Linked DNA regions of Saccharomyces cerevisiae S288C. Changing the gene in region 4 together with the main gene of any one other region gives a genetic interaction. Each region holds a gene or a part of one and is shown on either strand. Other genes may lie near its edges. The genes, in order: PUT3, YDR042C, IMH1 and VBA5.

What was found.
Region 1: mutations in VBA5 (region 4) and PUT3 together harm fitness more than expected from each alone (negative genetic interaction), as found in Saccharomyces cerevisiae (one large-scale study listed by BioGRID).
Region 2: mutations in VBA5 (region 4) and YDR042C together harm fitness more than expected from each alone (negative genetic interaction), as found in Saccharomyces cerevisiae (one large-scale study listed by BioGRID).
Region 3: mutations in VBA5 (region 4) and IMH1 together harm fitness more than expected from each alone (negative genetic interaction), as found in Saccharomyces cerevisiae (one large-scale study listed by BioGRID).

Annotation. Positions count from the first base shown.
Region 1 is NC_001143.9:404,616-413,655, reverse strand, and holds PUT3 (Put3p), read right to left. Parts: upstream 5,113-9,040; coding exon 2,173-5,112; downstream 1-2,172. Other genes in the region: URB1 (Urb1p), read left to right, coding at 1-2,037; ATP7 (F1F0 ATP synthase subunit d), read left to right, coding at 5,667-6,191; ATP-dependent 5'-3' DNA helicase HCS1, read left to right, coding at 6,415-8,466; WD-repeat containing protein SWD2, read right to left, coding at 8,565-9,040.
Region 2 is NC_001136.10:540,101-546,888, reverse strand, and holds YDR042C (uncharacterized protein), read left to right. Parts: upstream 1-5,685; coding exon 5,686-6,288; downstream 6,289-6,788. Other genes in the region: HEM13 (coproporphyrinogen oxidase), read right to left, coding at 1-247; transcriptional regulator NRG1, read left to right, coding at 3,520-4,215; mitochondrial 37S ribosomal protein uS10m RSM10, read right to left, coding at 6,475-6,788.
Region 3 is NC_001144.5:746,464-755,544, forward strand, and holds IMH1 (Imh1p), read right to left. Parts: upstream 5,307-9,081; coding exon 2,571-5,306; downstream 1-2,570. Other genes in the region: chitin deacetylase CDA1, read left to right, coding at 1-62; DPA10 (Dpa10p), read right to left, coding at 385-648; chitin deacetylase CDA2, read left to right, coding at 1,474-2,412; Ras family guanine nucleotide exchange factor CDC25, read right to left, coding at 5,761-9,081. UniProt on the Saccharomyces cerevisiae protein: Involved in vesicular transport between an endosomal compartment and the Golgi apparatus.
Region 4 is NC_001143.9:656,153-664,127, forward strand, and holds VBA5 (basic amino acid transporter), read right to left. Parts: upstream 4,313-7,975; coding exon 2,564-4,312; downstream 1-2,563. Other genes in the region: putative multidrug transporter NFT1, read left to right, coding at 1-584; YKR104W (uncharacterized protein), read left to right, coding at 684-1,604; GEX2 (glutathione exchanger), read left to right, coding at 5,290-7,137. UniProt on the Saccharomyces cerevisiae protein: Transporter required for vacuolar uptake of basic amino acids.

The DNA.
Region 1 (9,040 bases), 250 kb from region 4:
GAAATTGCGAAAAGTACTTACACTACCTCGAAAAGTGAGATTTTTGACGAAATATTAAATATGATTACCACTTATATTGATTTCTATGACGAAACGAAACGAAATGAAATTTTGAAATGTGTTTTATCACAGAGCGACCATAAATATCATGCTGCTACAGTAAGATACATAGCTGCACACAATAATTTTACTTATCCAGGGGTAGAAACATGGTTACATAAAACTCTTCTTTACCTTACAAAGTACCTTTCAGAAAGAAAAGTTATCTCCAATTCTTTTTTTGAGTTACTAAGAGCGATGGCTGAGCTCTTAAAACTTGAAGAGGTACCAAATAAGTTGAATGTCAAAATCATTAATTCTCAATTAGAGGCTATTCTAGGCAGTGAGTGGATCAAACAAATTAAGGTTCTTGAATACGTTATTGTATTAATTTTTTGTGTGAGCAAAAAGTCAATTCAATCGCAAAGAATGGTTCAACTTTTATTAAGCAATGACAGTTACTCATCAATAATGATTAAAGACAATGATGAAGATTCATCGTATCGAAAGTTCTTAAGCACAATGATATTATTCTCTTTATTCAGCATCGACCCGGTCGTAAATTCGACGCCAATAGTTCAAGAGAAATTATTGACTTTTTACTCCGGTACTATTTCCAGTAACGACAAGTTGATACTGAAAATTCTAGAAACTATCGAATCTCACACCGCTACTTCATGGACAAACATGATTTTTTCTTGGGAATTTATCAAAGACGAAGAGGAAGAAATCTTGGAAGCCATTGGAGACACGAGGCTGATTACCAAAGAAAGGGAGGGGTTGATACTAACACTACAAAAAAACATGATCAAAAAGTCCATTGACAGATACGTATTGGAAAGGCCTCAAGTCCCTGAATTATATACCGATTCTAATACAAACAATTATGATGCTACTACAAGGTGTGACCTAGTCAAAAAGTACTACGATGATACCGAACGATCTGGTGTTGATATGTACGATCCATTATTTTTACTGCTATTAATAATCCATAACAAAGAGCTGGTAAAAATGGTCAAAGATGACGAGGGCAATGTAACATACAGATATGAATTTGAAAATTTCCTTGATTGCAAAATATTTCAGTTTATTATTTGCTCATTAAGCGATTGTCATACCGTTGCCAATATAAGTTACGAACATTTATCAAATTTAGCTTCTTCTTTGGAGAAGAAAACTGCCCAGATGAATCTTGAAAAGCAAATAACTAGCAAGGATAATGAAAGAAAAGAATCTGATAGCGATTTAATCAAATATAATAGCATTTACCAAGTGTTGATTAAAAGGATTTTATACCAGAGACAACAAAATCAAGATCCTATCAATCCGTTAATTTGGTTTTCTATCTCTAGAATTGTTGATCTATTGGGAAGTCCAACTGCGCCCTTACATGAGAAGGCATACCGCTGGGTATTATCAAATTCTACCATACGTAGTTGGGACATCCCTATGGTATCTGATGTGATGATGTCCTACAATAAGAGACAACAAGATGACAATAAGAAAGAAATTGATATGGAAATATACTATGGAGAATTGAGTTGGGTTTTAACAACCATTTGTAAGGGAATTAAAACGGATGAAGATTACAAGATGTTAGAGAAGAAAGGTGTATTTGAATGGTTGTTAAACTTGATCAATATGCCATACTTGAAAGAAAGATTACGCGAACTAATCTATTTTATTTTTTACAAAGTCCAAAGGGTAGCAGATGATGGTGGTTTGAATTTAATTAGCAGAAACGGTATTGTGTCGTTTTTCGAGGTTTTGAACAATAACATCAAATCTAGACTACCACAGGACGATATACTGAACAACATTGGTACTTTACGGAACGAAAACAGAGGTACATTAAATACTACTTTGAGGTTAGCCCAAGAACAAAACGGAATTGAAAAACTACTATTAGGCTACAACGAGCTTGTCAAATCACAAAAAAGGCTAATATTATGGACAGAAGGTGATAGCGACAATGTTGTCAAGAGGCTACGTAAATGAGCTGTCTTGTGATAGATATTTTAAATAAGATTTGAAGAATTAAATGTCCACTTTTCTATATAATGTGCGAAATGTATAATATATGCATAAGAAAACAAAGAAATCAGTATTTTCTTCTTTGTCTTTGTAATGGTGTTATGGTCCTAAATAATCAGTAAAGTCAATTTCACTACCAGCAGCTGCAGTTGGATCCATAGTATTTCCCAGCCACATTGCTTGATCAGTGATTTCCTTCCAAAGTTTTTCATCGGAATGATCAATATTGCCTAAATCCTCCAACAATTGTTGTAAATCGTCATCATTTAGATTATGAACGGAATCCAACTGATCCATGTTTTTTTCCATCACCTGAGAGCCCTTTTCAGTTAGCGTGGTTTGGTATGAATTTTCCAAGCTCGCAGTTATGATATCAAAAAAAGTAGAAGGTTCCGAGTTATTGACGTTAATATCATTAACATCATTATTACCATTACTATAATCAGTCAGCGTTGGTTTCGCGCCTTCCGGAAGTATGCTAACAATGTTCGATATAGATTCGTTCTTGATCATATTTGTATTGGTGTTTGATTTATCACAGTCTATAATTGAAGGGTCAATGCGATCGCCATCTTTGTGAGGTTTACACTTTTCGGTTTCTCTTTTGGGTTCATTGCTATCTTCTACTATGTTATCGTTTTCACAATTCATAGAATCAAATTTCAAAATATCGTTATATTTAGTAATCAAGTCATTCATTATGCCGTGGAAATCCAAATTTGCCATTAATGTTAATAATTGTGCTCTTCTTAAGCCTGCTGGAATGTTGCCTAAGTTTCTCATTTGTGTGAAAATTTCCAGAGAATGATCCAAATGATATAGTGTTTGTTCATGAATACCAAAAGCAGTGTTGAATAGTAATAAAGTACAAGAAGAAGTAAAAAGATACTCTCTGTCCATATAACTAAACATAGCAAGCATACTATTCTGTAATAAACTCCACAGAGACCTAATAGTATTCACAGAAGCATGCAAAGAACATGTTAATAAGGAAGATATTGTGGCAGAATAGTTTTGTAAGTTGACGAAAGTATTGCTCGTTTTGAACCTTTTCAATTGAATGGATGCAAAATGAAATAATAAAGGTCTCACGGCCAAGTTTATTCCTTGAAAATATTCCGTAAACATATTGGTTGACAATCTCGATATTTTGAAATCTTCATCCTTTTGCGTAAAATCCACCTGTAAGGAATCGGACAAATTGTTCCTCCATTCCAACAACTGCTTGATGACAACTTTCAAAGTAATTATGATGTTTGTCTCAGGTTGCCTTTGATATAATTTGCTCAAAATTTGTGCATTGATTTTCACAATAGTAACGCAGTTAGAAATCAATTCTGCCTTTCTGAAAACATAGTGACTATTTTTCTCTTCGATAGTTTCATCATCAATATCCGCTGGCAGTGCTGTAGAGATTGTATAATCAGTGAAACTTAATGGTAACCCAGCTTTTGAGCTAAGCATTCGTTCAAACATGTAAACTGTCCACCAAAGTCTCCTATGATGCTCGATTTCATACCTGGATAGAGTGTCGCTTTGAGAATCAACATGTAAGCCTAGAATTAAGCACGTCCTTAGGGCTTGACCGAAGTAAAAATAAGAGGCTAAAGTGTAATCAGCCACCTGTAAGAAGAACGCGTATAACAACAGGACTTCAATACCGCCTTTCTTAGTCACATTTTCTAATCTTTCACTTGAGAACAAACAATTAAAAATTTTAGAACCCATTTGAAAAAATTTTGAACCGGGCAATTTTGGCTGATTAGAATAATTCTTCAACATTTCATTATTGATGGAACCCAGATACATTTCACCTACTGCTAAAATTAACAAAATTTTGCAAAACCAAACAGCTTGTAAAATTGGATCATTCTCATTGTCCAAAGCTTTTTTGGTATTATCATAGTATAGCCATTTATTTTCCAAGTACAATTTGTTAATGCCACATTTAACCAGGCCTTCGTTGAAAAAGTAAAAACAACCATCGTTATAATTTATAAAGCAGTCAATTAATAGTTTTGTGTAATTATACGAAGGCAACTGAAACTGTATTACCTCTTCCTGGCCACTACTACCATCCGTATCGCTTTTCAAAATTATCTTAAACATCAATGGAGATAAATTATCGTTGATTGAGTTTAAGTTGACAATAGTCGATATAGGGTTCAAAAAATTATAGGACGAGAAAAGATAGTTGTTTGAATTGATAAAAGAACTTATAGCCGGGTTCAGGTTTGAATTTAAAATCTTGTTTTTGGTGTTTATTGGCAAAGGTCGAAAATTCTTGACCGAAATATACTTTGTAACCAAAGATTGAATTTCTAACCCAAATAATGTCATTGAAGAAGATCCAACAAAATAATGGAATCCATTGTGAGATTCTATGAGCCTACCACTTCTTTGAGCAAAATTTGTTGATATTTCTTCATCATCTTCATCATCATCCTCATGACCATTGGCACCGTTGCCATTTTCGCCATTAGCATTAGCTGGTTGTTTAAAGATGCTGATGGCCTTTTTGTAGTATTTTTCCAAACTATGATCATAGCTCCTATTATTTGTGATTCTGTTGCTGTTGTCATCGTCGTTATCGTTATCGGACGCAGTGTTACTATTGGACATGAGGTCAAATATAGGAGCCGCCGGAGCGCTGGATACTTCCAATGTGTCACTTGAGGGTGCATTGTTTATATGCCTCTCGTCATCATCGCTGTTATCCTTACCACGTACACTCACTGGTCTCTCCAAGAGCAAAGCTTTCAGGCGGTTATTCTCTTCAGTTTTATCATTCAAGTCTTTTTGCAGTTGTTGCAGATACTTTGTCGACACAACAATTTTTTTTGACGGCTCCAAGTACTCACATATGGCATTGCTCGTAACACATTTTTGGCAAGGGTTACCACCAGGACATTTTATATGACGTTTCCTACAAGAAAGGCATGCGACAGAAGATCTCTGCTGCCTTTTTTGCGGTTGTTTATTAACGTAGGCTGGTTGCTTAGATTGTATCGAATGCCTACTGCCTTGGTCGGTCACCATTAAACTCGTTAAGATCACTGCAATTATCCTATCAATGAGTTAGTTGGACCAGTGTCGTATTTATCGTTATTGTAATGGTTACTTACTAATTGCTGCTTAGAAAGCTTTAAATTGCCGCCGAAGTCAAGTATATCATCAAGCACCTGGTGGATGTTTTCATTTTTACTCCAATATTCGCCACCTCATTGCCGCGGAGAAATATCGTTTATAATGACATATCCGATGACTCAATCCCATAAACGAGGTATGGGTGTATATCACGTGATATATTATGCTCACGTGATGACCACGTGACTAATGAGCGGGTTACAAGAATTATTTTCTCTTCGATTTGATTGGATATTTGTCTTGATGCCCCCAAAAAAGTAAAAGATACACCAATTACCACTTGCTGCTTAGCGTAGGTGTAAAACATATTTCTACTAGTACAATACTTTTCTATATAAGTTTATATATTCATATTGACACGTAACGCAAAAGAACAATCTTAGGATTTAAAAGAAATTTTTCGTGCACTTAATTGCAGAATCACCTAATTATATTTTTGTTCGACTATGTCTTTGGCCAAATCCGCTGCTAACAAACTTGACTGGGCAAAAGTCATCTCTTCTCTACGTATAACAGGGTCGACTGCCACTCAATTATCGAGTTTTAAAAAGAGAAACGATGAGGCACGTAGACAATTACTAGAGCTGCAAAGTCAACCCACCGAAGTAGATTTCAGTCATTATAGATCTGTGTTGAAAAACACTTCAGTCATTGACAAGATAGAATCATACGTTAAGCAATATAAGCCGGTCAAAATCGATGCCTCCAAACAATTACAAGTGATTGAGTCTTTTGAAAAGCACGCAATGACCAACGCCAAGGAGACAGAATCCTTAGTTTCCAAGGAGTTAAAGGATTTGCAAAGCACCTTAGATAATATTCAATCTGCAAGACCTTTCGATGAATTAACTGTTGACGACCTGACAAAGATCAAACCTGAAATTGATGCTAAGGTAGAAGAGATGGTCAAGAAGGGTAAATGGGACGTACCTGGTTACAAGGACAGATTCGGCAATTTGAATGTGATGTAGTACCCTTTACCTCTATATATTACGCACCATATTCTATTATTTTTTTCACAGGTTTATATAACTGGCAAATATTATAATTAAACATTCTTACTGTCATATATACACAAATGTGCGCCTGCATATCCTTACGCTAAGAAAATCTTGTACGTTACATATATTTCAAAAATATGAAGGCTGATGTAAAGTTGTCTCTTGAGAAATATAGAAAAAAGAGTAGAGGGAAATGAACAAAGAATTGGCTTCTAAGTTTTTATCAAGCATCAAGCATGAACGTGAACAAGACATTCAAACAACTTCTAGGCTATTAACAACGCTATCTATCCAACAATTGGTGCAAAATGGCTTGGCAATAAACAACATACATCTAGAAAACATAAGATCCGGTCTCATTGGCAAATTATATATGGAACTGGGACCTAACTTGGCGGTTAACGACAAAATTCAAAGGGGTGATATTAAGGTTGGTGATATTGTTTTGGTACGCCCTGCAAAAACCAAAGTAAATACCAAGACTAAGCCCAAAGTCAAAAAGGTGTCTGAAGACTCCAATGGCGAGCAAGCGGAATGCTCAGGCGTTGTCTACAAAATGAGTGATACTCAAATCACCATAGCTCTAGAAGAATCTCAAGATGTTATTGCTACCACATTTTATTCTTATAGCAAACTTTACATTTTAAAGACTACCAATGTCGTCACGTATAATAGAATGGAATCCACAATGAGAAAACTGTCTGAAATTAGTTCACCCATACAAGACAAAATTATACAATACTTGGTAAACGAACGCCCCTTCATCCCCAATACAAACAGCTTTCAAAACATTAAATCTTTTTTAAACCCGAATCTGAATGACTCCCAGAAAACTGCCATTAATTTTGCCATTAACAATGACTTGACCATTATACATGGTCCTCCTGGTACGGGTAAAACATTCACATTAATTGAATTGATCCAGCAATTGCTAATTAAAAATCCTGAGGAGAGAATCTTAATTTGTGGGCCTTCCAATATTTCTGTGGATACGATTCTGGAGAGGCTAACGCCTCTTGTGCCGAATAATTTATTATTAAGAATCGGTCATCCTGCTAGGCTATTAGACTCTAATAAAAGACACTCTCTTGATATACTTAGTAAAAAGAATACTATTGTGAAGGACATTTCCCAGGAGATTGACAAATTAATTCAGGAGAATAAAAAACTAAAAAACTATAAGCAACGTAAAGAAAACTGGAACGAAATTAAACTGCTGCGCAAAGATTTAAAGAAAAGAGAGTTCAAAACCATTAAGGACTTAATAATACAATCGAGAATAGTCGTCACCACTTTACACGGTTCATCATCGAGAGAACTATGCTCCCTTTATAGAGATGATCCAAATTTCCAGCTTTTCGATACCTTGATCATCGATGAAGTCTCACAGGCCATGGAACCACAATGCTGGATCCCACTAATTGCACATCAAAATCAGTTCCACAAACTAGTCCTTGCTGGTGACAATAAACAATTGCCACCCACAATCAAAACAGAAGACGACAAAAATGTCATTCACAATTTGGAAACCACACTATTTGACAGAATAATCAAAATATTCCCGAAAAGGGATATGGTAAAATTTCTTAACGTTCAATACAGGATGAATCAAAAAATTATGGAATTTCCATCGCACTCAATGTATAATGGGAAACTATTGGCCGATGCAACGGTCGCGAACAGACTTTTGATAGACCTACCGACCGTCGATGCTACGCCATCTGAGGATGATGACGATACAAAAATTCCTTTAATTTGGTATGATACGCAAGGTGATGAATTTCAAGAGACTGCAGATGAAGCTACTATCCTTGGATCTAAGTATAATGAGGGCGAAATTGCCATTGTAAAAGAACACATTGAGAATTTAAGGTCATTCAACGTCCCGGAGAACTCTATAGGTGTTATTTCTCCATACAATGCACAAGTTTCTCATCTGAAAAAATTGATCCATGATGAATTAAAATTAACTGATATTGAAATATCAACTGTAGATGGGTTCCAGGGCCGTGAAAAAGATGTTATCATATTGAGTTTAGTTCGTAGCAATGAAAAATTTGAAGTTGGTTTCCTTAAGGAAGAACGAAGACTGAACGTCGCCATGACAAGACCCAGAAGGCAACTAGTTGTTGTTGGCAATATAGAAGTTCTGCAAAGGTGCGGTAACAAGTACCTAAAAAGTTGGTCAGAATGGTGTGAAGAGAACGCTGACGTAAGGTACCCCAACATTGACGATTATTTGTAAAGAATACACAAGATGTATAGAGTATACGTCGTTATACAGTAGGTAAAAAATGTTCGTTATATATTATATCCTCTAGTATATCAATGCAGTAGCAGCAGTCATTCATCGTACACGTAAAAATCTACTGTTTCGTCTGCGGTAACAAACATCGAATATTTAGGGTTGAATGCAATTGACCTGGGGCAGGTCTCATGAGAAACACAGGGAATGAACCCTTGCGGCCTTAATACTTTGTTACTTATTGAATCAGAATGATTCCAAATGGCAATCCTACCGTCATAATCGGTTCCAAGGACGAATTCACCATCTGGTGTGAAACAAGCAGATCCAGAATCTAGAAATTCTCTCATCGGGAAGGCCCTTGTTCCTATTAGTTCGAATAATTGTTGACCTGTGAATGCGTCAAAAATTAAATGCTTTCCTATCGAGGAGCCAACTAATAAATACTTTCCATTGTTAGAAAATTCTAATTTATTCCATTGACTGAAAGTCGCATCATTAATTTTAATTATCAAGAAAGGACCCTCCTGAATTTTTTTCAGATTATATAGCCCTATTTCGAAATTCTCTGGGT
Region 2 (6,788 bases), on a different chromosome or scaffold from region 4:
CGGCCGCTGGGCTCAATTGACCATAAACAACGGAGACATTAACACCACCTTTTTCGAAAGTTGTACCGTCTTGGATAACCATAGAGGTACCACCACCACCATCGTTACCACGGGTCCAAGTATCAGCGTGGAACTTAACAGTATCGATGGATTCCAAACCTTGCGTGATTTCAGCTTGTTTGCGACGGATAAGAGCTTCCATTTGTTGTCTAATTGGAAGATTCCTTGGATCTTGAGGGGCAGGCATCTTTATGTGTATTTAATTGTGTTCGAAGAGTTCGGTTTGCTATGTTTGATTTGCGAAAAGAAAGCTTTTGATATGCTCAAAAAAAGAAAACCCGGAGAATAAAAGCTTAACAAAGAAAGACAATAGGTGGAAAAAAAAAGGAAAATCCGTGTCCTTATATAGCCTTTCGAAACGAGAACAATGGGCAAAGCAAGCTTTATCTTCGGATCGTCCGTCAGCGCTTTGGTTGCAGTCTTATGCTTTGTTCAAGCTGGAGCGTTATTGGTGGGAGAACCAGAAAAGGCGAAAGCGTAGCGTTCTTTGAAATTTGGCTTCTGTTCCTGCGACTCGTTTAAAAGTAGAAGGGCCCGCGGAGCCGCTGTGAAAGATTTCTTTTACTCTTTCAGCGCAGAAATCTCGCAGGAGCTCAGCAGAAAGTGCCTATGACGGTAATCCCAGGGGCTAATGGTGTGAAGGCACTTTCTAAACAATTGAAATTAAAATACCGTGCCTATAGTAACTTTTTTTTACGCTGTGAACCGTTCAACACACAGTAAAAACTCCGCAGGAAATGGTTTGAAGAATCTTAATCACGAATTAGGCGTATTGTTTTTCCCAACAGTGAACGAGAGGACAAACTCCAGAGGATTTGCGGGCTTGATGATAAAATGTATTGTTGAAAAGATCGCGAATGCAACAATTACGGTGGGGAGAAATATCAACAAAAGGGCAAGGCTATGCCTTCTGGAAAGTGGCAGACTTGCACTTTCCTCGAAAAGAAAAATGACCGCAAGATCCGGTTGTTCTCAACCTTCTACATTAAGACATACTTCTACGATTTTCGAATGCCGAAGCAACTATCGCTGAAATTTGTCATGTCAAAATTGCTACTGGGGGAGAAGAATATATATGGAAGTAATTATTATTTACGTTGCTGAAATGGCAGGTTAGACGCATGTTTTGCAAAATAAGTGGTTTTGAAAAGAATTGATACTAGGAATCGGTGCAATACCTTCTACCTTTCTTAATAGGTATTCTTGAATAATCTACCTCACTTTCTGTCCCAGATACGAGATGTCGAGCGCCTCGAAAATAGATATCGTTTATTACGTTAGATACGGAAAGGTCTACGTGTCATAATAAATTGCATCTGGATTGCGATTTTGGGTCATGCCTAACTGGGAAAATATTTACATCTCCATGTTCTCATTCTGCCTTTGCTTTCCTTCAAAACATGGTTTTCAATTCAACCTAGGGTCTACCGCGGAACCATATGTACGCCGTAAATGCGAGTGTTCTTGAAAGGTAGTAATGTGTTCCCTCTCAATATGTAAGTCCTTCAAGAGTATGCACTTGCAGTTGCACTGTTTCGGGTAATTATCCGTCATTAAGAAAAAGATGCTTCCACTTTCTCGTGTTTTTACGCACAATCGTGCCATTTAACCGGAAATAGACTCCATTGCATTGATTGCTCTCATAAAAATTATAGCCCGCGTTTGATACTTGTTTAAAATAGGTGTCGACAAAGTTAGTTTCTGTCTTCCATTTAGTTTTTACAATATGACACGTCAAATAAATCTTTTCGATTTAGTTAAAAGAGTTACCTGGCGATAGCCTTCTGGTAAAACACCTATTCATAAAACAATCTTAAAAAACCAAAAAATTACCAAACAACTATGTAGGACATATTTTTACAGTTCATAAAAACGCTTCGAGCTGCCGATATCGGTATCAAACACCAAAATATACATAGTGCTGGTTTAAGCCAGAATATCTTGGTGAAGCTGCGCCTATATGCCTTGTATTTAAAACAAGTCACGAAAAGCTATTGCCAAAGGAACATAAAAACTCGTATCTATGTTATATTATAAAAAAGATATAATATTTATATATTATTATTAATATTATTTTTTAGTTCCGAAAGGAGAAACTTATAATTTTTATATCATTATTTATTATTATTTTTAATTTCAACTCCTTTTATACCTATTACTGCATGTGGAGAAAAGATTAAACCAGGCGAGGCAATTTACACTTATTCATTGAGATAAGATGAAAGAGCCACGCCTCGTTACATTTAGGCTACATCATATAACAACTAGTCCCAGCCTCCCCCCTTCCCCACCTTGGAGTACTTTTCTCCAGAAATAGAAAGCTAAGAATCAAAATCGCACCATTACGTATGAGCTCATTTGCCGTCTTTTCCCCGACAATCCGGCACAAAATCTGGCTACCCGTCGTATGTATGGTAGACGATATTATGTACTCTAGTAATGCTATGTACGAATAGTTTCAGACGGGCACAGGGACCTAGAACGCCAAGCGCAAAAAAAAGCTGATAGGAATTCGACGTCACGAACCCTTGGAGTAAAAGAAAACTAAAATATACGAACTTCGCGGAAAATAAAAAACTTTTCCTTCAGTTGTTCCTCGTTCGAAACAGTAATCTACACGGACCGTTGCTTATTTTTAGCCAGATTCTAGTTAAATAAAAAAAAAAGAAATAAAATTAAAAAAAAATTAAACTGTGGCAGATAAGCCTTTCTAATCGAGGCAGTGTGTTTCTTTTGACTTCACCGTTTGTCTTCGCATAGTTCCCCTAAATATTCTAACTAGAAAAATCGCTAGTATTTTTCTACTTATAAGTTGATTTTCCGCATATTTGTCTTTGAAACGTTTGAGACAGGGAAAACTCTGTTTTCTAAAAGAGGAAAAAGCAAAATGAAGTATTGGCTTGGTTGCGGTCAACACCCTCAGGGAAAGCCAAGAAATGCTTTTTACTGTTTAGCAGTGAAAAGGCCGCACCGGAAAAGAAGGGAAAAATTCATTGGGTCTAGATTTTTCTTATCGGTAAAAGACTATGGCCTCTTGAGGACCCTTAAGCGTGAAACGAAACGCGTTGAGCGCGCAGAGGGGCTTCGCCGCCGGTCAGGGTGTTTGGGGTGTTTTTTCTTTTAATTATTCTCTTGGCAGTGTCATCTTTCTACAGTCTGGCTGCAGGCTCCTTTTCCGTTATTCATATATAAGGAAGAGAACTTTCCAAACCCAAATTAAAAAAAATTTGGTTCCCATCTCTTAACTAAAAGAAATTATATTACTCCACCTCGTTTACAGTTTTTTGATGCTATAAGGGAATTCTGCAGCTTTTGAAAGTAAAAATCATATCGTATACGATTCTGCAAAGTATTATTGTACTGTAATTCCTACCATTACGGCGCCTTTTTCTACCATTCACCTTTCTTGGATTGTTCCTCTCGACCAGCATATTACTACCCTTCGCAAACTTTCAGGCAATGTTTTACCCATATAACTATAGTAACCTCAATGTTTCTACTATGCCCGCACTGCCGGGAATCTCCGCATTTGATGGAATGCAAGATGAAGAAAACGTTGAAATAAGCCCGGAAAGAAAATATCAGACGCTACTACCAGTTCTAACTAATTCTCATGTGGTAGAGAATGAACTAAAACACAAATTAAATAAGACTGCTTTTGATTTCCGATACCAAACCAAATCAGAAAATGGCTCTGAAAAGTGGGAGCCAAAATACTTAATAACGCCTAATTTACAAACAAGAAGCGTCTCTTTTGACAATTCATCGGTACAATATAATTCAGATTCATCCGAAAAAAGCTCGCTATCACAACTAACTTGTAATTCATCAATAATACAACAGCCTGAGAACGGAATAGTTTCTAATGATGCATATAATAAGATGGCAAATAGTAGATACTCTCTGAAAACGCGGAAGCAAAGAACAGATCCAAGAAATACGTTATCAGATGAGGAAGACCTTGAACAAAGGCGCAAATACATTTGCAAAATTTGCGCAAGAGGATTCACTACATCGGGTCATTTAGCAAGGCATAATAGAATTCATACGGGCGAAAAAAATCATTGTTGTCCGTATAAGGGATGCACGCAGCGATTCAGTCGACATGATAATTGCTTGCAACACTATAGAACACATTTGAAAAAGGGACAATAATTGACGGTATACCCGTGTTTTTCTCATTAGCAGTACTACTATTCCGCACTTTACATCATTTTTTATAAACTCATGCATACATACATTGTACTTCAAAAGATTTTTTTTTTTTTTTGGCATCATAAATCACTTTCAGATCAGTTTCCTTTCAAACGCGCGGCATTAAGAAAACTTTTAATGTCAAAAAAACGGAAGCAAAAACCCCTCCCTTCCGCTTAAGATCATGTCTGGACATTTTAGTTGTAAGGCTGCGCCTCGGTAGCAAGTAGTGCTGCAACAAGGCTATTATGCCACCTAAACAGACCACTTTTGCTTAATACGAGACTGTGACTACCTCCTGACTTCCTGTCATAACAAAAAAACAGACGTCGCTGCATTAACATTTACAACCCCAAACCTTCTTCATTCATTGCTTTTCTTTTAGAAACTGTGGCTTTTTGACATTTGCAGTTTGCATAGTTACTTTTTGATCACTAACAACGATATATTATCGTTGAACAATTTACTACGCAAAACAGTTCACGTGATGTACGTCAGATAATTCACTGAAGGTACTACCTTTCGAGCATCTCTTACAGCAATGGTAACAGCTCATTGAAGAAGAAAAAAATAAGACAAATTTTTTTAGAGCTGCAAGCGTTTTACTAGGCATCAGAACTGTCTCCGAACAATAGTATAGTTAATTATTATACTTCAACCCTAGAAGAAATACCCGAAGATGTAAGGATGTTTTTGTTCCTATAAGCTTTTTTTTTTCACAAAATTTTCATCCACTCTACGTCTTCCATACGGTCATATAAAAGGTGCCATATCCTCGGCCAAGACAAAAGGCTTCAGCTCCATATCTTTTGAAATCATGTAAACGCATGGGGCTCAAGTACTGAGCAAAGTAGGAGAAAGGATATTGAACATGTTCAGAAGAACGTGGTATCTTTTTCCTTATTATACATTCTCTTGGCGAGTGATCGAAAATATATATGATGATATCCTATAACAACAACAACATGAATTTCTTCGTCCGAATCCTTTATAGGTGGAAACAAACTTTGACAATAGCTTTTTAACACTGATAATATATTTTCGCGTCATTCTTGCTGATTTTCTTTTTTCTTATTCTTATTGTGCTTCATCCTCCATCTTCAATGGCGGTAACGTAAATCAGAGTAGCTTTCATTTTCTTTATTTCTGTTTCTGTTTCGCGTCGGGATAACAAAGCGTACTTACTAATGGCTATTATTTTTGCTAATGACACAAAATCCTGTTACCAATTTCCAAGAAGAAAGGCGGATAACAGGGAAAAATTTGAATCTGTGTATCTGCAGTACAAATATTATATATTGGAAGAACACGCACTTATATCTTCTTCATGTTTGTCATTTTATTAGAAACTTTACTATTGAAAATAGCGAATCAACAACAGCTAACAAACGACTAGGTCTCTAAGAGAAAAAATCTTTTTCTTTTCACAACATGGAGCAAATATTATATAATCAAAGCCTTAAAATTTCTACCCTTTCTACTTTTCAAGGTTTAAAGTTTCTAAAGGTCCTCATTTTTTCTATTTTCCAACAACTATTTTATAACCCAGTTATACAATTATTCGGAACGAAAGCCTCAATAATGGAATCTGATTCCACTACTCTGCTCGAAAGTAGTTGGAGTACTGAGCGAAACTTTCTCAATATGAATTCAGATTCCATATCTGCTACCAAGAATGTTTTTATATTATTTTTTACCATTTTCAGATTAGCGGAGTATATTGTATACAAACTCTCTGACCAGAAGTATCGGTTACACACATCCCTGAATGTCCAACATTTCAGGTGGAATTCGAAGAAGAATACAAACAGAAAAAGGACACTTTCCTTTAGCAAAGCTTACTTACCAAGAACAAATATACTACCGATTTTTGTAGCCGATGGACTAAAAAATAGATTCTCAGGCCCGCTACCTGGTAAGTCCTTGGAAAGCTTCCAGAAACTAAATTTATTGAGCGATAACAATATTAAGCGGTATGCAGTACCAGGAAACAAAGCAGTGAACACACTTTTATGGCAAGAGCAATACTCATAACGGGCCGCAATATTAGTACAAAATTGTTCATCATATAGTTAAAAAATATAATTAAACTTACTTATAAATTCAGTATAACCATTTAATCTACTACTTTTTGCCCCTCTTCTTCACCTATTTTATTTACAAGTACGAAATCTTTTCGGTCCCAAGAACCAGCGTAATTATAGGATTGCCATCATCTTTTTACTTCTTTTCCAAATGTTTTTTAAAATCGGGGCTATCCAATAGTTCCAATACTTTTTGTCCGACAGCACTAGTTTGAGCTTTATCATCGTTTCTCAGAGAATACAATTCATCGATATTGCTTAGTGATTTTTCGAGGCCATTGGCGTCCGAACCCAAGTCCAGCGATATTTCGGACCTTTGAAAGAAGTTACATTTCATTCCGACGCCTGCCATAGAGTGCTTCGTAATGTAAGCTATCAACATCTGTAGCACTTCGGGGTTCGTATCCCAGGCCCTAATGAGCCTCTTATGTGTATGTCTTTCAAAATTCT
Region 3 (9,081 bases), on a different chromosome or scaffold from region 4:
GTGACCAATTGACAATTGCAGAATGTATTGGTGATACAGACTACATCGAACGCTACGACTAGAAGTAAGATTTCCGAGAAATAAAGTTTCTCTCTATATATCTTTGATCTCTTATTTAATTATTCAACTCGCAAAAATAAAAAGAATATTTTGTTATTTCAAAAGTAAAAAAGTATGTATTAGAATAGAGGACATATATAAAAATCATATATATCGATGCTTGAATGTATAAGGAAAAGCGTCAAATTATGAACGGTAGGTACTTAGGATGCTGATGTCACATAAAGTCAGAGGGTATAACTTTAAAAAGTAATTTTTTAGAATCTTTTAGCGTCAAAACGTTACACGTACATTTGAACAGTGTTAAGAGTAGATTAATTCAAATTATACTTTTACGTGCTCCGATACAGTCTCTACCTCTTCGTTGTCAGTGCAAATAACAATTGGCTTATCATGAACTGTTCTTGGAGATGGAGAATATCCTTTCAGACTCGTAATATTGATGACGGTAGTTATTCTGCGACATTGAGTAGTACTAGCATCCCTTATAACCGGAATAGTTGTTGATGTAGGTGAACTTTTTGGGACATAACACTTGGCAGTTGTTTGCAAATTTTTTGTGATCATTGATATGTTTCTTAGTGACATTTTTGATGCTATTGTTTTTATAGTGTAATTGCTATGAGTTTATTTTGTTGACAAGTATACTTGGCTGTCTTTTTTATATAATAACGAAAATGTGTAGTGGAAAAGCAGGTGTGTTTTGTCTTATATCTTACAAACTATATAGGCTTATATAGTTTTTTTTCAAAGATTCTTATTACTGCACAAAAAAAAATAAGATCCCAAATTGAACATTAACATTAGTCATATTCAGGGATGGCTCATCACGAACAGCAAACTGAATAATTTTCTTGTCTGCGTTCCTTTTTTTGTGCACCAATGGATGTAGTATGCGCACCTGATGCGCATAATAGATTGCAATTACACTGACTACAACTTACGTATATGCGTTTTTATTACTTTTCTATTGCAACGGCCTAAAGGAATTCGATAAAAGAAAGAGTAGGCAAGATAAGCCTGAATTTGGCTTTCGGCTGTTATTTTTACTTCCGCTAAATTTTCTTTGTTCTTCCATTGTTTTTTTGCCTTTGTGTTCTCCATTAATCCATCCAATTTTAATGTCGGATTAATGGAACTTTCTATTAACCCATAAATGCCACATAGTACGGCTGTAGCAGTGAAGGTTACAAAAGGACGGGTAACACATGAGAAACATGCGTCAGGGAACAAACTAGATATTTGATTTTGTGACGCAACGCAAAAATTACTGGCTATTCTTTTGTAGTATTATCAAAATCCATTTAAAATATTCTCTCTCCTTCAGTAATCCTCTATTATTTATCAAAAACCCACAGTGGGTAAACAAACTGCAAAAGAGTTGTTATTATTTCTACGGATCGGCAATTGAAAATGAGAATACAACTAAATACAATTGATTTGCAATGTATTATTGCACTTTCCTGTCTGGGGCAATTTGTTCACGCGGAAGCTAATAGGGAAGATTTAAAGCAGATAGACTTTCAATTTCCTGTATTGGAAAGGGCAGCTACAAAAACGCCTTTTCCGGATTGGCTTAGTGCATTTACCGGGTTAAAAGAATGGCCTGGGTTAGATCCACCTTATATACCTTTAGATTTCATTGATTTCAGTCAAATTCCAGATTATAAGGAATATGATCAAAACCATTGCGACAGTGTTCCAAGGGACTCGTGCTCTTTCGATTGCCATCACTGCACCGAACACGATGATGTGTACACATGTTCCAAACTTTCCCAGACATTTGACGATGGTCCTTCTGCTTCCACTACTAAATTATTGGACCGGTTGAAGCATAATTCCACCTTCTTCAATTTAGGTGTCAATATAGTTCAACATCCAGATATCTATCAAAGAATGCAAAAGGAGGGACACTTAATCGGCTCACATACCTGGTCTCACGTATATTTGCCAAATGTATCGAATGAAAAAATTATAGCTCAAATTGAATGGTCCATCTGGGCGATGAATGCTACTGGCAACCATACCCCCAAATGGTTCAGACCTCCATATGGCGGAATAGATAATAGAGTAAGAGCAATAACAAGGCAATTTGGCTTACAAGCCGTCTTATGGGATCACGATACTTTTGATTGGAGCCTCCTTCTCAATGATTCTGTCATAACTGAACAAGAAATTCTTCAAAATGTAATAAACTGGAACAAGTCAGGAACCGGATTAATATTAGAACACGATTCAACGGAAAAAACTGTCGATCTTGCCATTAAAATAAATAAGTTGATAGGTGATGATCAATCAACAGTTTCTCATTGTGTCGGCGGAATTGATTACATAAAAGAATTCTTGTCCTAATTTTCAGGGAATTGAAGAAAATAAGGAAGAATTAAATTACAATTTAAAAAGAAATTGCTTTAGTATTTTATATATAGACATGCAGCAACTTCTTGATATATTTCAGGAAGAAAAAAACTGTTTCAATATATACGTATCTTCTGCTTTCAGCTACATTTTTACTTCAGAGACATAACCAGTCTTTTTTCATCAGTACTGTCCAGTTGTAACAACATAGAAATTACAGGAAGTAATTGGTTCCGTTGTTCCTTGTGCTCCAAAAATCCCAACAAAACATTTTTTATATATGCAATTTTTTCATTTTTCTCAGAGTCTAACTCCAATGAACTTGATGATCGTATCTTCTCTAATTTAGTTGGATTAGAGTTATTCGCTGGTGAGGAATCAATATTCGCGTTAGCTAGAGTACCGATAGAACCAGACCTACTAACTCTTCCTGACTTGTCACTGTATTGTCTTTCCTTTAAAGCATTCAATTGAGAGGACAATGAACGATAATTTTTTAGTAATCGATCAAATTTCTTGTTAAGTTCGTTATTTAAATTCAGAAGTTTCTCATTGGCAGACTGTAGCTCAAAATTCTTTTCATCAGCCTTAGACAATGAGAGTTTTAAATTAGATGTGATCTGTTCCAACTGATCGGAATCATCTGAAGTGGCTTGAGTCTTCCTTTTGATGTCATTGTTAACATGTTTCAATGCGTCAACCTCTGATTTTAGTCCCTCTTCACGAAGCTTTAAAGCGTGTATTTCCGATTTCAGCTCAGTTACTGTATGCTTCCACTCTTGTAATTCAGTGGCCTTTCTGGATGTTTGTAAGTCTAATTCTGCTTCCAATTTATTCTTTTCATCCGTTAAATAGGCCAATTTATTCTCCAACTCTTTTTGTTTGCTCGAATCATCTGTCTGACTGTCCGAAACTAACCTTCTCAATGTGTTAGCTTCTCTGGTTTTGTCTTGAACAATATTAGCATATTCATTTAGTTCATCTTCTAAAGATAAAATTTTTTTTGTAGATTCCTTCAACTTGACATTTAGTTCCTCACATTGTCTTTTGATAGAATCTATGTGTTCATTCGAATTACTTTTTACATTTTGCAAGGTATTGTATTTTTCTTGCAAAATATTCAATCTTTCCGATAATTTACCATTTTCTTTCAAATACTCCTCGTAGGAATTAGAATTCTTTGCGATATCATTATGCAGTGTCTCATTTTCCTTTTTTAATAAGTCTAATCTGTTAGAAATTTTAGCATGATCTTTTCTCAGCTGTTCTGTGGATTTTTCAGCCACGTCCTTTTGCTCACTAAATTGTTTAACTTGTTCCTCCAAGTAACTCACAGTTTTTTCCTTTTGTTTATAAGAGGTTCTTAAAGAAGTAAGCTCCTTTGTTATGTTTGATTTTTCGTAGGTAAGTTGAGATATCTCCTCATTTAATTTGGCTACCTTGTTCTGCGATGTAGTCTGCTCTTTCTCCTTTTCTGTACATAAATTCTTCAGATGCTCTACTTTCTTGCTCAATAACTCTATCTTACTTCTCAACTCAGTATTTTTAGCTTCGTAGGCCTCGATCATCGTTGCATTTTTATGGCGTAAATCATCGAGCTCCAGCTTAACGGTTTTCACTTCTTCATTTTGTTTACTCGAAGACTCTTTAATCTCATCTTTTGCGTCCACAAGCTCATTGCCTACAGTCCTCAGCATATCTCTCACCTCCTCTAGCTCCGAATTTTTTTCTTTCAATGACTTCTTGGTATCGATCAACTCGGTGTTAAGGGTTTCCAGCTCCTTTGCTGATTTTTCGAGCTGTGAGTTTTCCAATTCTTTAGCATCTTTTAGTTCTGCTTCTATATCTTCATACTTTTGCTTCCAATCTTCACAATCTTTATATTTTTCTTGTAATTCTTGCAAATTTTCTTTAAGCTTATCATATTCTTCAGTATTGATTGAGTTATCGACCGTTTCCTCTTCACTGATATCACCCGTAGTTATGCCTCCCTTATTTTTCTTTCCCTTGTTTCTATTCTTTTTCCTTCTGTTATTGTTTCCTACATTTTGATGAGATATCGCCTTCGGTAACTCCTTCATTTTTTTTTCCAATTCACTCAGCTTGCGCTCTTTCTCTTTTAAAGTAATATTTAGTTCTGCCAACTCTGAGGACTTTTCCTCCATTATAGTACTTTTCGAAGACAAATTTTGCTCCAATTCGGTTATCTTCATTCGACTGTCCTCGAGAGAATGGTTCTTTATAGCCAATTCTTCCTTCAGTTCGGATATAGATACTTCTTCTTTCTGTTTTTTGGCCTCCCTTTCTTCCTTTAGTATATTTTCCAGTGCAACTATTTTTTCTCTCAAACCTGAAACAGTATCATTTTTTTCTTTTTGTACAGTATCCAATTCTATGTTTAAAGCTTCCATTTTTTTTTTTAGATCGTCTATGTCATTTTTATAATTTTGCTCTTTTTTCAAAAATTCCTCTTCTTTATCCTTCAGAGTTTCACTAGAGGCGCTTTCTGGAATTTCCGAGTTCTGCTTAGTTAATCTCTTGATCTCATCATTCAATAGGTTATTTTTGTTGTTTAAATCCTGGAAAAAAGCTGGCAACGTATCCACTGCGTCGTCAATATTAGATATGGGTGTATTTTCCGCTAAAATCTTTTCAACAGCCTCTAACTTCTCTGACTTTAATTTTTCATTTTTGTATGCGGAGAGTAGCAAAGGGTATTTTTGTTCATATTTCTCAAATTTTCTTAATTTAGCTTGTATTTCTTTTGGCAAGCCACTCTTATCATCTTCGATTTGTTGTTCTGACGGGGTAGGGCTCATATCATCGGCTAAGCCCTTCGCTAATTCATCGGTAAGATTCTTACCAATTTGTGACAGCTGTTTGAACATTGAATCAGCAAATGTTTCCCTAAGTTAAAATCACCTCAAATGTAACTCCTGTTGCTTACTATTTGACGTTTCTGCTACATTTGGTTCTCTTATATTGCTGGATCTGAAAATCCGAACTATGAGAATGCGGGTAATAGCTTTTCATAGAATCACTAATTGATATTTTTTCAGGTAATAAGTTTCCTCTAATCGGGCATTTAAAATCTTGGATCGATAACTTAACTGGGTGTAATAAAATATATAAAGATATAAAATAGATATATATATATAAAACGAACTTTATCAAGAAGAACTGCAAATGAAGCGTACTCTCAAATCCTCGAAAACGAAAAACACTCCACCAGTACAGTATTATCACGAAGAATATTAAGTAAAAGCAGCCATCTTAAATAATAGAGTGTAGCAATCAAACATAAAGCTAAGGTTCTTCTTGATTAGCAAATTGTATAAACTTTTATCGAAATAACCTAGAAGGAGGTTTTTTCTTACCTAGCTTCAAAAAATTGCCATTTTTATCATCTGTAAATTCACTTAGGAATTTTGCAGTTTTTGTACCGCTAGCAGAAGAAGCATGCGTACTGCCTTTGGTGTTTCCTGATCTCGGTTCCACTTGCAGTGATAATTGATACTGCTTTTCAATGTGGGGGACATTTTCCAAAGACGCTTCTATAACGGTCTGAATATCATCCAATCGTTTCAGCTTGTAATGGAATCTTTTAAAGCTTATAATTTCCTCCACTATATTTGCGATTTTAGTCCTCTTGCTGAAGTTTATTATGTTGGTTGAATTGTGAAGAAAATCTGGGTTTCCGACAAACGTAAATGTTAAATCAGATAGGTATACACCAAAAAAGGGAACACATGCAACGTCCGTCACGGATCGCAACAGCTCTCTATACTTCACAAAATTTCTCTTGGAATCCATAAGGTTGTTTAGGTTCTTCAGAAGGTCCTTCGACTCAGTGGAAACTAAATCCCATGTCTTTTTCAGTCGGTAGATTGGGGAGGAATACAAAGCGGACACTATGGCAGTCATTGAAGAAAAATTATTCAACTCTTTACAATGCTGGGCAACGGTAACAAAATATTGCGTTAATTTTGAACGTGTCTTGACATCTGCCTGTTTTACAATGGTATGAGAAACAAAATTAGTTAGCGTATTAGCATTAGCTATAAATTTCGTAATGTTCGGAGAACCACCCATATTACAATACTTGGTACCCCATGCCCTATCCAAGCATTCAAACATAGTGATCCTGAGGTATAAGTCATGTTCAAGTACAGTCAATTGTGTGGCATATGTGTATGGGTCAATATCCAAGAGCTTCAATTTCTTCAATCTAAAAAACGCTGAAGAAGCAGAAGATGGTAAAGAAGACGAAGACATGTGTATCGGTGATTTATTGTCACGTTTAGTTGTCTGTACGACTGCCGATACCGAATCTTGTTGCTTAGGATCCACTGGTTCTTTCTCATTCTCATTTATCAGTTTTTCATTTATCTTTTGCAAAAGATCCTCTGCCCCCGGTATTTTCTCCGATACAACCATCTTGGCAAAATTTAGAATCAGTGGTATGCCAGGTTCATAATAATTTCTTGTCCAATACTGCGTCAAAAATGTTCTCATAATGTTGACCACACGGCATTTAATCGGGTTTGACTTTTTTTCTATCCAAATATTGTAATCATCGTAACTCAGCCCTTCAGGAGGATACAAGTTGTACCTGTAAATCAGGGCATAAAAAAACTCTCTTGTGGTTAATATACTTCTGAAAGTTATTAACATTGTAACATTGAAAGCCGCATCAACAAGTTCATGACTGGTTAAATGTTCAATCAGTGCCTCTTTTGTCCCGCCACGAATTTTTCCTCTTGAGTCATAGACAAGACTAGTTTCATAATCTGAAGTTAAAAACCATGGAAGGTTTTTCTCTATGTTCGCAGCTTTGCGTTCAATATAGTCCTCAGATCCTAATTCGTCATCGATGATAGCTTCATCATTTTCTGAATCGTCATCACTATAGTCCTCGGAATAAATATCAAACCATTTTTCTTGCTCACCTTTCAATAGTTCTGCAGTCAAATTATTCTTCATCATTCTTGCTGCGTAGTTCAGCAAATTTTCTCTTTCTTCAATCAATTGATCAACAATAATACACGCAAGATTAGAAATCTCGACATACTTTTCACAAGCATCTTTAAAATCGTCGGAGTTGTTTAAAAATTCAAGGTTATTGAACTCCACATCTTGACTCACCAATACGTGAAATAAGGAGAGTGCCAATTGTTCATTTTTTTTATGGAAGGGGCCCTTGACCAAAGGTGTATTAGAGATATTCTTGAAAGGTTCATGATGTCCGACAGGGAAATTGGACCTCATTGAGGAAAACAAATACGGGTCGTCTAAGGTCGTTTGTTGCGTTGTCATTATTAATCTGATGACGATGTCATGAAAAGCCTGCTTTATATCAAAAAACTCTGTTAGTACTGAGGAGACCGAAGACATGGCGTGAACTAAAAATTCCTCGCTTTCCAAATCCAACAAAATACTGGGTGTCTTAATCAGGTTTTTCAAATTGATGAAAATTGACAGATCTAAATTCTCCAGTATCTCCAATAGTAAAACATTCTGATTTATTTGTTCGTATGTGCTTGAATTTATTTCCAAATTCCTAATTCTGCTTTTGGGTTTACTTATAATTTTTAAGTGTTCACCTGTAGCATTATTTAATTTTTCAAAAATTTGCGAGGATTTCTTCTTCATTGTATTCAAAGTGTCTACAGTTAATGGATATTTTTTCTTCCTTTTTGAAACTCTTGCTCTTGAAAAGGTTCTGTTATGAGAAGGACGGTTGAAAGGTGTAAAAACTGAACCAGACGCGGCACTGCTTGCTTTTAAATCAATTTGGGAATTTGTTTCTGAATTAGCGCTATATCCTGACGCAGAGGCAATAGCATCTGCCATCTTTGGTGGAATCCTTGATATTGAGGAATTTTTGGACGACGAAGCGGTCACTTCATTAGATGTGACAGCTTTGTTCTTTGTCGCATTACCAAATTCATCCGTAATAAAAGTCGAAAATGGATTTGTCCAAGAACCACCGCTAAATGAACCTTTAAAAAATCTTGGGAGCAACTGTGGTAAAGTATTATCATCTGAGAAGACTGAGCTCTGTAACACAAAATAAAGTAACTGAACATGCCTTAAAAATTTCGAGAATTCCACATCAACCATTTCGTAAATCGATTTAGCTGACTTAAAATTTTTGTTGGACGGTGAAAAATCTTCCAAAGTAGAATTTTGTATTGAAGTCCTTGGTGTTACGACAGAATTAACACTATTTCTTGGACCTAAGACTGAGAAATTTTCCATATCGTTCTCATTGACTGTACTGAATGATGATCTCATTGGAGTCAATGTATCCGTTGTACTGGTACTTACATTACGTTTACCGGACAATGGAACTGAAACTAGATCATGTACACTATCTACTTCAATTTTACCATCATCCCCTTCCGTCCTAGAACAATTATTTTCCTGATTATCGTTATCCTTGTCATTCATAGTATCCATTTTTTTTCTGTGAAAAGCTGAATCGAAATATAAATGAGAATTGATACTTATCCTTGACAATGAAGAGATTAGACCTTTGAAAATCTTCTTAATCTCCTTGCTGCAACTTTTGGCTTTAATTTCATGTTGCATTAGCCTGCAGCCTAACTGTGTGAAGACTATTGAATCTGATATCAAATCAAAGTATTTCGTGAAATTGAG
Region 4 (7,975 bases):
CTTCTGGTAAAGTTTGGATAGCAATAATTTCAGGTACCAACGTCACCAAGAAAATATTTGCGAAGCTTCTATCCAGTATCTTATATGCCAAGTTACGTTTTCATAATGTCACGCCGACTGGAAGAATAATGAACAGATTTAGCAAGGATATGGATATTATTGATCAACAATTGATCCCTAATTTCGAAGGACTCTCTTATAGCGTCGTTGTTTGTCTGTGGATTATACTTTTAATTGGATATGTTACTCCTCAATTTCTGTTATTTGCTATTCCTTTATGCGCTCTTTATTATACCGTATGTACGTTATATCTTCGTGCATCTAGAGAGTTGAAGAGAATAGATAACATCAATATCTCTCCAATACACCAGTTATTCGCTGAAGCCATCAAAGGAGTAACTACAATTAGAGCATTAGCAGATGAGCGTAGGTTTATCACTCAATCTTTGGTTGCAATTGACAGAAGTAATGCTCCATTTTTTTATCTCAATATGGCCACCGAGTGGATCACATATAGAGTGGATATAATTGGGACACTTGTTCTTTTTAGTTCTTCTGTAATGATCATAATGAAGGCCTCATAGTTGGATGCGGGGCTAGCGGGGATACTGTTATCGAATGCCTTTTCCTTTACTGAAACTGCTCAATGGATCATAAAAGTATTTTCAAGCGTTGAACTTTTGATGAGTTCAGTAGAGAGAATAAAAGAATATACAGATATACCTTCCGAATCAAACGGCTACATATCACCTCCAGCTAATTGGCCTCAAACAGGAGATGTTGAACTAAAAAACTTATCATTGCGCTATTCTCCTCATTCCTCTAAGGCACTAGATAATGTATCATTCAAGGTAAAAGCAGGAACAAAAGTTGGTATTGTTGGTAGAACAGGGGCTGGGAAATCTTCTATTATAGCGGCTATTTACCGGCTTTCAGACTGGGAAAACGGTACGATTACTATTGATAACAAAGACATAAAACATATCCCTTTAGAGCGTTTAAGAAATTCTATAAGCTGCATCCCACAGGATCCTACTTTATTTGATGGAACTGTTCGATCTAATTTAGATCCTTTCGATCGGTATTCTGATGTACAAATTTATGGCGTACTATCCAAAGTGGGATTAATTGAAGAATGCGATGAATTGTGCTTGATTTTTGAGCAAGAGCAGCCTAATTTTTCTAGTCATAAACTAAGAAATAGATTCATTGATTTGAATACTGTTGTGAAATCAGGTGGTTCAAACTTATCTCAAGGGCAAAGACAACTTTTGTGCTTGGCACGATCCATGCTTGGTGCACGTAATATAATGCTAATTGACGAAGCAACCGCCTCAATAGATTATATTTCTGATGCTAAAATTCAGAAAACTATAAGAGAAACAATGAAAAATACAACAATTTTGACTATTGCTCATCGATTAAGGTCAGTAATAGATTATGACAAAATTCTGGTGATGGAAATGGGCAGAGTCAAGGAGTATGATCATCCATACACTCTAATATCTGATCGAAATACCATTTTTTACCGCCTCTGTAGGCAGAGTGGCGAGTTCGAAAACCTTTTCGAGTTGGCTAAAGTCTCATTCGATAATAAAAGATAAGACAACTAGAATTTCCTATTTTTATTCATTCCAGTTCTAGCTACGAAGTATACGATCTGCTTACGTCATATATTTGTGTGTAATTAGAAGGCATTCAGGAAGTCGCTTTTAACTTTTCAGGGCTATATGTCCTAATCCACTACTTTTTTTGAGAACTTTAAGAAATAACTCCTTTGAACCTGTCTGTGCCAAACAAAATTTTGCTGGTACATTTTATGGTATATAAACAAGCTACGTTATTATTACTTTTTTTTGATAGTTTTACTTATACTAGAAAATAATATTATATCATCACAAAAGAAACTCTCTCGTTAAGAATCCCGAATATTCAGCAGGAGCAAAAAAAAAATACCATAATTTAAATGCTTATTCAGTACTTAGCTGCTGATTTTATCGCAAGTATACTATTGGAGAGTACCGTGGTTCATATCGTGCTATTTTTATCTATATTTAAATTTATAGAAGTTTATCGTAGTATACTATGTAATTCTCTGCCGTATTGGCGGCAAAGACAAAAGCACTGACAGTAAACAGTTTTTCTGATGAGAATTTATGTCGAGGAACAAACGAAAATTTTGCTGGCCAAATTTGCTTACGCCTTTAATGTGATTGCGGTTGAGGTCTGTTATTACGCAGCTGCTATCATGTGTCTATTTGAGATTCTCTTTACAGGTTATCGCTGCATTTTTGTCAAGAAAAGAAAAGAAGACAACCTTTTTCTTGCACTGCGATGAGTATATTCAGGCTCGCGAATTTTCCAGATTTCTTACTAAAGACACATCTTTGAACGCACCAGCATGAATTTTATGAACTACTGATCCATATATTAATAGGTTTTAAGTACATATAGAATACTTAAGAAATTACATTCCATTGCGATACACCTATTTGATTCTGATTGTGTTGAAGTCTGTATAAAAGGCGAAAAAAAATAAAATGAAAATAAGAAAATAACTGCGCTACTTGTCTTCTAAATTATCTTCTGGTGTATCGTCCTTTTTTGGTATGATTAATTTCTTATTGGATGAAAAACTACAAAACAAAAATCCTAAGGCATAAAACCCTAGATCCATCCAAAATACGTTCTTAATGGAGTCGCTTAAAATGTTTCCAATAGTCGAATGAGAACCGTCGTAGTTTTGAAGACGATACAAAATCATGTCATCAACCGTTTTTCCTTCGTAAGGCTCTAGATGAGCTCGTGATACTTTATTGTGAAAGGAGGCGGAAAAAACAGTGGTTGAAAGCACACCACCAAGAGTTGTACCTAATGACTTCATGAATGTATTGAAAGCTGTTACTTCAATAAAGTCCATAGCAGCTTCTGGACGATCTTTGGTAATTTGAAGCTGTGCACTCATGAGCGATGCTTGTAGAGCAAATCCAAGGGAAAACCCCGGTAATAGCAAAACACCAATTTGAGTTGACTTCGTGGACGTATTTGTCATAAGTGTCATAAGCCCTGCTCCAATTACCCCAAGAACGCCTCCAAATATTAAGAGTGGTTTAACTAAACCGAGCTTTTTGGTAATCACACCACTTGCAATGGCCGCAATAACGTTGGTAATAACGATTGGTATCAAGTGAAGACCGGCTTTCCATGCACTCGACGCAAATATAAGTTGGAAAAACTGGACAGAGTATATCATTTGCCCATTGTAACCGGTACATAATAGAAATGTTACCATGTTTACTATTATTATGGCTGGTTTTGCTACCAATCTTCTTAGAAGGAGAGGCCTGTAGGATATATTATCAGGTTCCGGGTTGAATTTATCGAATAGGAAGAAATCGTACACCAATGAAAAAATAAAAAGTAAGACACCCAAAACCAAATATGTGATGACTTGGCCAGAGTTCCAACTATATTTATTACCACCAAAGGTTAGCCCCAGTAGGAAAAGGACCAGCCCTGCAGAGCAGAGGGCAAAACCAAAGAAGTCAAACTTGAAGATTATGCCATTCATAAGTCTTTTAAAATTAACTTGGTGTCTGAACTTACTAAAAGTAAAGCTCGAGATTGTTCCTATAGCATCTTTAATTTGTTGAAGTATACCCTTATTCTCGGCCTTATAGGTGAGTAAAAACATAATAATGGCAAGACCACCGATAGGAAGATTGATATAGAAGCACCACCTCCAGGTAACATGGGTTGTAAAGGCACCTCCGATTATAGGACCAACGATAGCAGCTACAGCAAATGCACAACTTAGGATGGAAATCACCAATGGACGTGACCTTTCACCAACCATCGTACAACCAATAACAAAGCAAAGCGTTTGGAGTCCGCTTCCCCCAACACCAGCAACAACTCTACCGAAAATGAGCATATTCATTGAAGAGGCAAGGGCAGCAATTAGGGATCCGGCTTCAAAAATAAGTATTGCTAAAATGAGACTATGCTGGAAACCTATGATAGATGCGAATCTTCCCCAAATGAGACTCAGAATAGCATTTGGTAAACTGTAGCCTGTAACGAGCCAACCTGTTTTGGAGTAGTTTCCGAACTGTTCTGCGACCACGTCAATAATAGTTCCCACTATCAAAATATCCAGTGCAGTTATGAATAGTACAAGAGTTAACGAAGCCAGGCAGAGGTACAAGGAAAGTCCCATTGGAGAATCATTGCTACCTCTAGCATTCAATGAAGCGTCTGAACCACATGCTCCTTCTATCTCCTGCTGCGAAGAGTACTTAGTTTCCTCCATATTTTTGAATTTCTATCGATTAAGCTCTATACCAGGTATGATCTGGTCTGATCAGTTCTAGGTATGAGTATAACTAGAATACATCTATATATATGTATATATATATTTAAACCAAAAAAAAAAAAAATTCGCTTCTCATAAAGGTGTGATGACACTATTATCTTTTGCATATTTTGTCGACTCGTATCATGTACGCGCTGCATATGAGGTGCGGCGCTATCTGTTAAATATGTACTAATTTGCACCTGCTGCAAAGGAAATGTGGCACTACTTTTACTCGCATGTTAACTTTCACCTACTATATATAGAAAAAAGGGTGTTGCTTTCAATCGCCGACTAATTTGCTCAAATACTCTTTACACAAAGGAAATTGTGTATCAGTAACCCTTACGGTTTGTTTATGAAGGAACTTTGCTCGTCCTACACCACCGGATCTAGGTACTCAATTTTTTGATGATTTTGCACTTGTGCTCATATCCTGTCGACAGGCACCGCATTTTTTTCCTTGTTTCAACAGACATAAACACAAGCTTCACTCATTAGTTTGAAAAGAGATAGTTTCGACGGTACAGTATTCTTGTCGTACAAAAGTCTTCGGTATAACTGGTTCGTTGTGGATTTTCGGAAAGTAAGTTGATTGTACGACGACAGGTCAAAGTTAAAGTTAAAGTCACCAGGTGTATAGACACCACATTGAAGGGGCGTCACAGCAATTTTTTTTATTTTTTTTTGATACTCAATAATTACGAGCATATAATTTTAGTACTTCCAAAAAAAAGTTAAAAAAAAAATAGTGACAAAATGTGTCAGTAAAATATATATGAGAACATGGAATGTATTAAAGTAATTCCATTTCTAGCAGATGTAGCGACCGTAGAATCTTAAATACTATTTACATAAATAAGAAAAGTAAAATAGTTTTATGGACTGGAACGAGAAAAAAAAAAAAAAGAATAATCAAGTAAATAAATTATCGGATGAGTTCTAGTGTTGTTGGTGCCTCAAGTAATAAAAAAAGTGGAATTAGGCAGTCCTGTGAGATTATTGAGCGAGAACGTCACTCAAACGATGACACGTACTCTATGACATCGACCTTTTTTAAGCTCAAAGAAAACGAAATTATGTCTGCACAGTTTGATTCCTTGAAATATAAAATTCTACTGATAAGTACCGCGTTTGTATGTGGGTTTGGAATTAGTTTAGACTACACACTTAGATCGACCTATACGGGCTATGCAACGAACTCATATTCAGAACACTCCTTACTTTCAACTGTCCAAGTTATCAATGCTGTTGTGAGTGTCGGATCCCAAGTTGTCTACTCTAGACTCTCTGACCACTTCGGAAGACTAAGGCTTTTTTTAGTTGCAACTATTTTTTATATAATGGGAACCATCATTCAATCACAGGCGACCCGTCTCACCATGTATGCAGCAGGATCGGTTTTCTATAACTGTGGATACGTCGGAACAAATCTGCTCCTGACATTAATACTCTCAGATTTCTCCTCCTTGAAATGGAGAATGTTTTACCAGTACGCCTCATATTGGCCATATATCATAATACCATGGATTTCAGGCAATATTATCACAGCAGCAAATCCTCAGAAAAACTGGTCCTGGAATATTGCAATGTGGGCTTTTATTTACCCACTCTCTACCTTGCCAATTATATTTCTTATTCTTTATATGAAGTACAAATCTTCAAAGACTGCTGAGTGGAGATCTCTCAAAGAACAGGCTAGAAAGGAAAGAACGGGCGGATTATTTGAGAATTTGGTGTTTCTATTCTGGAAACTCGATATTGTTGGCATATTATTAATAACTGTGTCGCTAGGGTGTATTCTTGTTCCTTTGACGTTGGCTAATGAGACATCACAAAAGTGGCACAATTCAAAAATAATTGCCACTTTAGTTTCAGGTGGCTGTTTATTTTTCATTTTTTTATATTGGGAGGCCAAATTTGCCAAATCTCCTCTTCTACCGTTCAAATTACTAAGTGATCGTGGAATTTGGGCACCCCTTGGTGTTACTTTTTTCAATTTTTTCACCTTTTTCATTTCGTGCGACTATCTGTATCCTGTTTTGCTGGTATCGATGAAAGAATCGTCCACTTCGGCTGCTCGGATAGTAAACCTTCCTGACTTTGTTGCTGCTACTGCATCTCCATTCTACAGTTTGTTGGTGGCAAAGACAAGGAAACTGAAACTTTCTGTAATCGGAGGTTGTGCTGCATGGATGGTGTGCATGGGCCTTTTTTACAAATACAGAGGAGGATCTGGGTCTCATGAAGGTGTTATCGCTGCATCTGTTATCATGGGTTTGAGCGGTCTCCTATGCAGCAATTCAGTGATCGTCATACTGCAAGCCATGACTACGCATAGTAGGATGGCTGTAATAACCGGCATTCAGTATACCTTTTCAAAGCTAGGCGCTGCTATCGGTGCCTCCGTTTCTGGTGCCATATGGACACAAACCATGCCTAACCAACTCTACAAGAACCTTGGAAACGATACATTGGCAGAAATAGCATATGCATCACCTTATACATTCATTAGTGATTATCCTTGGGGCTCACCGGAAAGAGATGCTGTGGTTGAATCTTACAGATATGTTCAACGAATAATAATGACGGTTGGCTTGGCATGTACGGTACCGTTCTTTACGTTTACAATGTTCATGAGAAACCCGGAACTAATAGACAAGGCGACACACGAAGAATTCACTGAAGATGGTTTGGTTGTCTTGCCAGATGAGGAAAATATTTTCTCTCAAATCAAGGCACTTTTTAGACATAATCGAAGTAACAAGAAATCAGGATGTTGATCCCCAAGCTGGTGAAAAAAGGGCAAAAAAAAAATGAAAGCAAAATCACAAAAAAGGCAAAAACAAGTGATTTCTACATTTTTATTACTTCCGATAAAAATGACATAACAGGATAGGATAAACATGCTCGATAGACCCACATTTGAACTTGCGACGCATATAGCTGTGTCGTACTTTTTATTTTCACAAGCGTCGGTAAAAACTCAGCGTCGGTAAAGACTCAGCGTCAGTAAAAGAGTCAGCGTCATTGATATTAAAAGTGCGGGAGGAGTTACTATCCAATAAATGATGCTGGAAATGCGCTCTGTATGAATGCATTAATTATGTTGTACCGAAAAAGAAAGAAAGAAAGAAAAAAAAGAATATCATGTAACTTCTAGTAAGGGCGTCATGTCATAGCACTTTTCTAAGTGTATGCCATTGTAAATCATTCTAAGCGAAAAAAAGTGATATGTCTCCTGGTATTTTGTATTGTTGTCGTTACAAGTTGATGTGTTCCGTAGTGTGAGTGCAACATGCGATTTTGGTACCGCAAAAAAGGTACAGATCACATGGGCACAGATACAACAATTCTTTATGCCTGTATTGAGATCATAGTTTTCTTGGAGTCGGCAACAGTCTACGGGTGAACCCAATAATCCAGCAGTAAATCTACTAACCGAACATTGTGTCGGAATTTACACATTACTGATATAATTCGTCCCATTAAACTTGCTGCGAGTGATTTCCAAAACAAGTACTACATTGAGCGTGTTCAGCGTGCCCAAAAGAAATGGACTTGAAAATCTTGTTGAATTAACTGTATATCCTTTAAATTAGCTGCCACAATGATAGCTAC